Cricetulus griseus: one gene and its partner. The protein of the gene in region 1 interacts with the protein of each later gene in a biochemical or structural test. Links are inferred from orthologs where the notes say so. Each region holds a gene or a part of one and is shown in the gene's direction. Other genes may lie near its edges.

The links.
Region 2: the proteins of transcription factor AP-1 (region 1) and Runx2 form a complex in vitro, tested with the Homo sapiens proteins (2 studies listed by BioGRID). The link is inferred for Cricetulus griseus from reciprocal best matches to the Homo sapiens genes JUN and RUNX2.

What each region holds. Positions count from the first base shown.
Region 1 is NC_048595.1:53,811,092-53,815,313, forward strand, and holds transcription factor AP-1, read left to right. Parts: upstream 1-1,324; 5' UTR 1,325-2,193; intron 2,194-2,310; 5' UTR 2,311-2,414; coding exon 2,415-3,419; 3' UTR 3,420-4,157; downstream 4,158-4,222. UniProt on the Homo sapiens protein: Transcription factor that recognizes and binds to the AP-1 consensus motif 5'-TGA[GC]TCA-3'.
Region 2 is NW_023276807.1:30,828,380-30,831,035, reverse strand, and holds the end of Runx2 (runt-related transcription factor 2), read left to right. Parts: intron 1-921; coding exon 922-1,517; 3' UTR 1,518-2,143; downstream 2,144-2,656. UniProt on the Homo sapiens protein: Transcription factor involved in osteoblastic differentiation and skeletal morphogenesis. Essential for the maturation of osteoblasts and both intramembranous and endochondral ossification.

The sequences.
Region 1 (4,222 bases):
GGCAGGGAAGGGGACAGTGAGTTGACCAGCTTCTAGTACCGGCATCAAGGAAGGTAATACTAACGCCTGGCAGCCCGGTACGGTGGACCTCATCCGCTCTACTTGCAGATGAGGCCAATAAAGCTCAGAGAAGTTCCGAGATTGCAGTTAGGCCATGAGAGAACCGAGCTTGCCACCTCTTTAGTCCTAAGTGGTGGAGAATGGAGGTCGGATAGCAGAACCCTAGGACAAAAACCACTTACATGTGTCTAGCGCTTCCTAGAGGCCACACAGGATATGAATCCACCAGCGGGCGGGGAGGGGAGACTTTAGCCTGCTTCTACCAGGGACTCCCGCTTAGGCAGCGTGACTTTCGGGCGAGTCGGCGGCGGCTCTCAAGACTTGTTTTCCCAGAAGCAAATCAGGAGCTGGGGGGTGGGGGGTAGGGCGGGCGCGGGTTGCGTATGCGCGAGACGCGCCCGGGCAAAGGCGATCGCTGGGGTTTCCTGAGTTTTGAACCCTTAAATGTTGATTTTGACCCCCATGGATGCTGGGGTCGCCCCTTTATTTCACGTCTAGAAAGCGCGTCCCTCTGAGGCAAAGCGAGCCCCTCCCCGCATGTCTCCAGAGGGTGAAGTGTTGTGCCGAGGACCCTGACGAGTCGGTTCTTAGTACCGCAAATCTCTAGCTTCCAGGTAGAGCACACAGCGGCACAGATCCTCCTCTGGAACTTAACCAAGAGATAAACTTCCACGCGTGCTCAACGTGGGAGGGACACTCAAGCCCGTTCAACTTCAACACACTTTCTCGCTCCCGCACCCGGGGCGCACACAACCATCTTCACCCGCGCCGCTGCCTCCCGGAAGTGTGGGGGTGCAGAGCCTGCTGGAGCTCAGGTCGCTCAGCCCCTTCACGTGTGTGCGTGTGTGTGCGTGTGTGTGTGTGCTTGTGTGTGCGTGCGTGCGCGCGCGCCACCTCCACTCCCCACCCAGGCCTTCCGCCCGGGGCCACTAGCGAGCCTCCCCAGCTTTCTGGATGCCGGTGTCTCGATCCCCGTCCCCAACCCTGAACTTGAGCCCGCCTCCGACAGACGCCGCAAGGGTCCAGCCGACCCGGCAGCCTCCGTCACTAGACAGCCAAACCAAGACGTCAGCCCACAATGCACCGGGCGGGCCGGGAAAGACGCGCCGGGGAGGGAACCCGGGAACACAAGCCTGAGCGCCGCGCGGGAGGGGGAGGGAGGAGGAGAAAGAAGGGCCCAACTGTAGGAGCGCAGCGGAGCATTACCTCATCCCGTGAGCCTTCGCGGGCCCAGAGAAGAATCTTCTGGGGTGAGGTCTCCATGGCGACAGGCGGGCCCGCCCCCCTGAGAGCGACGCAGGCCAATGGGAAGGCCTTGGGGTGACATCATGGGCTATTTTTAGGGGTTGACTGGTAGCAGATAAGTGTTGAGCTCAGGCTGGATAAGAAGGACTCAGAGTTGCACTGAGTGTGGCAGAGACGTCCTGGCAGGAACGCGCTCAGACAGAGAGGCAGAGAGAGAGAGCGGGACGGACGGAAGGAAGGACGGACGTTCTCGGCCAATCTGGACGGCCGCGGACTCCGGGCTGCTCATCTGTTTGTCTTCATTTTCTCACCGACTACCTGGACCCAGCGCCCGCGGCTCCAGCACCGGTGTTTTGGGGAGCACTTGGAGAGTCCCTTCTCCCGCCTTCCCCGGAGAAGCAGCTCGCAAGTCCCTGCGCTGCTGACAGCATCGAGAGCGGTGCCTGCCCGAGCGAGGAAATAGGCGAGCGGCTACGCCGACCACCAACTTTCCTGACCCAGAAGACCGGGAACAAGTGGCCCGGAGCGAACTTTTGCAAACCTTTTCAGCGCCTTAGGCTGCCCCCGAGACCGTAAAGAAAGGGGAGAAGAGGAAGAACCCACACTCAGCCCCGCTCGCACAGGCGGCTGAAGTTGGGCGAGCGCTAGCCGCGGCCGCCGAGCGTCCCCCTCCCCCTCACAGCGGAGGAGGGGACAGTTGTCGGAGTCCGGGCGGCGGAGCCCGATCGCGGGCTTCCACCGACAGTTCCGTGACGACTGGTCAGCGCCGCCGGAGAGCTGCTGTCGCTGGAGCTGGTCTGCGGTCTCCGAGGAACTGCTACTACCCGAGAGCGCTCCGCGAGTGACCGCGACTTTTCAAAGCCCGGCAGCGCGCGGGAGCCGACCAACGTGAGTGAAGGCGGTACCTTAACCCTGCGCTCCCTGGAGCGAGCTGGGGAGGAGGGCGCAGGGGGGGAGCACTGCCGACCGGAGCGCGCGCTCTTAGACAAACTTTACTTGTCACAGACGCAGGGACGCGCGGGTGTCCCCCGCTTCCCAGCGCGCTGTTGCGGCCCCGAAACTTCAGCGCGCAGCCCAGACGAACCCCGCGTGAACTGACCGACCGTTCTATGACTGCAAAGATGGAAACGACCTTCTACGACGATGCCCTCAACGCCTCGTTCCTCCAGTCCGAGAGCGGCGCCTACGGCTACAGTAACCCCAAGATCCTGAAACAGAGCATGACCTTGAACCTGGCCGACCCGGTGGGCAACCTGAAGCCGCATCTCCGCGCCAAGAACTCGGACCTCCTCACGTCGCCCGACGTTGGGTTGCTCAAGCTGGCGTCGCCCGAGCTGGAGCGCCTGATCATCCAGTCCAGCAATGGGCACATCACCACCACGCCGACCCCCACCCAGTTCTTGTGCCCCAAGAACGTGACCGACGAGCAGGAGGGTTTCGCCGAGGGCTTCGTGCGCGCCCTGGCCGAACTGCATAGCCAGAACACGCTGCCCAGCGTCACGTCGGCGGCACAGCCGGTCAGCGGTGCGGGCATGGTGGCTCCCGCGGTGGCTTCGGTAGCCGGCGCCAGCGGCGGCGGCGGCTACAGCGCCAGCCTACACAGCGAGCCTCCGGTCTACGCCAACCTCAGCAACTTCAACCCGGGTGCGCTGAGCAGCGGCGGCGGGGCGCCCTCCTACGGCGCGGCCGGGCTGGCCTTTCCGTCGCAGCCCCAGCAGCAGCAGCAGCCGCCTCAGCCGCCGCACCACTTGCCCCAACAGATCCCGGTGCAGCACCCGCGGCTGCAGGCCCTGAAGGAAGAGCCCCAGACCGTGCCCGAGATGCCGGGAGAGACCCCGCCCCTGTCCCCCATCGACATGGAGTCTCAGGAGCGGATCAAGGCGGAGAGGAAGCGCATGAGGAACCGCATCGCCGCCTCCAAGTGCCGGAAAAGGAAGCTGGAGAGGATCGCCCGGCTAGAGGAAAAAGTGAAAACCTTGAAAGCGCAAAACTCGGAGCTGGCGTCCACGGCCAACATGCTCAGGGAACAGGTGGCACAGCTTAAACAGAAAGTCATGAACCACGTTAACAGTGGGTGCCAACTCATGCTAACGCAGCAGTTGCAAACGTTTTGAGGACAGAGTGTCAGGGCTGAGGGGCAATGGAAGAAAAAAAATATAACAAAGACAGACTTGAGAACTTGACTGGTTGCGAAAGAAAAAAAAAAGTGCCCGAGTACCGAAGCCAAGGGTACACGAGATGGACTGGGTTGCGTCCTGACGGCGCCCCCAGTGTGCTGGAGTGGGAAGGACGTGGCGCGCCTTGCCTTGGCATGGAGCCAGAGAGCGGCGGCCTGTTGGCTGCTAGGCTTTGCGATCGGGCTGTGCCCGCGAGACCAGAACGATGGACTTTTCGTTAACATTGACCAAGAACTGCATGGACCTAACATTCGATCTCATTCAGTATTAAAGGGGGGCGGGGAGGGGTTACAAACTGCAATAGAGACTGTAGATTGCTTCTGTAGTGCTCCTTAAGAACACAAAGCAGGGAGGGCTAGGGAGGGGAGGGAGGCTCGTGAGTGCCAGGCTAGACTGCAGATGAACTCCCCTGGCCTGCCTTCCTCAACTGTGTATGTACATATATATTTTTTTTAATTTGATGAAAGCTGATTACTGTCAATAAACAGCTTCCTGCCTTTGTAAGTTATTCCATGTTTGTTTGTTTGGGTGTCCTGCCCAGTGTTGTTTGTAAATAAGAGATTTGAAGCATTCTGAGTTTACCATTTGTAATAAAGTATATAATTTTTTTATGTTTTGTTTCTGAAAATTTCCAGAAAGGATATTTAAGAAAATACAATAAACTATTGAAAAGTAGCCCCCAACCTCTTTGCTGCATTATCCATAGATAATAGTAGCTAGATGGAATAACAGCTGAATGT
Region 2 (2,656 bases), on another chromosome or scaffold:
AGAGAATGGGGAGCTGACTTCCCAGTATGTGACAATCCACACTTGCTCGGACACTCTCACTAGACACCCTTTTTGGGTAACCACAGAGGGACTCCAGCACATTCTACCTTTGGATCACCAAAGGGTGGGGTCAAAGAAACAGAAGGCATAGAAACCAAGAGCAAATACTTGCAGGAATTGGAGGAGGGGCCTTGGACAGTTGACTTGAGTGACACTCAGGACCCACTGTAGAGTGATCATGGAGTGTGCACTCATAGGTAGCTAATGTGCATACTGAGGTAGCTGAGGTAGGTTATCTGCCTGGATGTAGGCCCTTTCCTAAAGAGTTGTAGTCTACTTCCTACTGGAAGGTTCAAAGGTTCAGGAGAGTGTGTGCATGCCTGTGACACACATGACTGCTATGAGCTGCAGACTGGACAACTTATAAGTCCTGAAGGGTCATTGGACATTATATTGATGGAGAAATGAAGCCTTGTCCTCAAGGAGGAAGGACAGGACTTCCTAAGAATCCCACAGTATCATCTGTCCCAGCAAGAATCAGAATGAACTCTCCTAATGTTGTCTTCAGCCCCCAGTGTTGCTGGAAAGTGTGTGTGTGTGAGTGTGTGAGTGTGTGAGTGTGTGTGTGTGTGTGTGTGTGTGTGTGTGTGTGTGTGTACATGTGTGTTCATGCACACGTGTGCATGCATATGTATTTATCTGTTTAACACAGTTGTGCTTCTGAGATCTTGGGCTAGGCTCCCACACTGCCTACTTCCTTCTTGGGATACCGCCTGCCACAGTCGTCCTTACTGGATGTCCCTCTGAGTGGTATGAACTGCAGTTCCACTTTTTTGCTCATTTTCTTAGCACCTAATGTGTGACTGACCACAGAGATAACTCAAATGCCCCAGTGACCTTTTCCCTCTTCTTGTTTGACAGATTCAGAGCCCAGTACCTTGGACTCACAGTCTTCCACCACCTTGTTCCTGTCCTCAGAGGAGCCTGGCCCTTCTACAGCTGCACTGCCATCTCCATCCTCCTCCTGTGAGCCCCAGGCCTTCTCCCCAAGCTCCACCATGTTGCCCTCTCTCCTGCCACCTCTGTCCACTGCCTCTACAGCTCCAGGCCCCTGCATCCCTCGTCGTGGTGGGCTCTACACCATTGTCACCTCCTCCCCAGAGGCTGCACCCCACCTTGTTGACTGGCTGCCCAACTGCCCCTCTGCCACCTCTCCTGGTGTCCGAGGCAAGGATCACGAGCGACCACAGCCTGTGTTGGCCCCAGCTCCAGCTTTGGAAAGGGGCCACATTCAGCACCCAGGCTCTGCCAGGGATGATCATGCCGAGGGTCCTAGAACCTCCCCACCTCCCTGTGCCCCTGAAGTCACTATTGCTACCCTGGAGGCCAATGTTGGGGACATCCTGGTGGAGCTTCGGACAATGAATGGCCACCTGGACATTATAGCAAAGGCTCTCACTAAATTGGCCTCTTCCCTGGTACCCCAGCCCCAACCTGAAGCACCAGATACCAATTAAGGGAGTCTTGCATCTCCTAAAACAAAGGGATGCTGAGGGTACCACTCATCCCTGCTTCTCTGACCCTACCTGTGATGGAGATAAGCAAACCCGGTGGAAGAGCCAGTTACAGAACTAGGTTTGCTTACAGATTGGTCTTTCACTCAAAAGATGGAGCATCTCAAGCTGGTTCCAGGCATGTTGTAGCCTCTGTGCTTTCCTCCACCTTCAAATGCCCTTCTCTTATTTTAAATTCTGGTGAAAGCACTTCCAGAAGACTGTGTCAGGGCTTGGATCAAGGCGATTAGAGAAACAACGTTCCCTCCCAGTCCTCTGAGCCAAGAGAAGAGAGAAGAGGAGATCCTGTCGTCGTCATCAGAAACACCCTCCAGGACACCTCCAGCCTTCCTTTCTTGAGATGCTCATGGTGTGTCCACCCCTAGTGGATCTCACACACCTCTTTTCAAAAAGTATCTTTAGAAAAACAAATCAAGTTTCCTCATTTATACCTATGTTTCAAAAAGTTTGGGACATAGAGAAGGGATAAAACAAGGACATGGCAGAAAAGCTATGGGGGGTATTTAAGTCTTTCTTATTAATAAGAAAGCATCTTGTGTTACAAATAAAGTGTGCCTCTGTAGTCTGAGCGCTGGCTTCTGAGTTCCCCTCCTGTTCTCTGCTTTCTTCTTTCAGGTCATCATGGCTTCTCACCCTCCCTTACTCCTGGAGTCTTCAACTGTTTTCAGTACTTAGGATGAAGAAGCAGCTGAGGCTACTCACGAGTCTTAAAACTCTCAGTTCTCCCTAAATCTAATAAATTCATCTTTCCCCTCTGAACCGGAGTGGAAACCTAGTGACAGACAGTAGCCAGTGAGGAGGAAGCCAGCATCCCTGGCCTCTCTCTTCCCTAGATGTCTGCCACTTTCCCTACTGGGGACAACTCAAACTGTCTCCAGATGTTGCCAGTGTTCTCTGGCAGAAGGTCATAAATTTAGAAAAACCGACGTCCTCCTGAGGTCTCTCTTTCCCTAGTGGGGGCAGGATTCTTTTCCACCTTCCTTTTTGAAGTGGAACACACAGATACTGCCGGGGCATTCGCCAGAAGCTGACATCCTCAATAGGTCACTCAGTGGAAGCCAGTCGTTTCCCCAGAAAAAAAC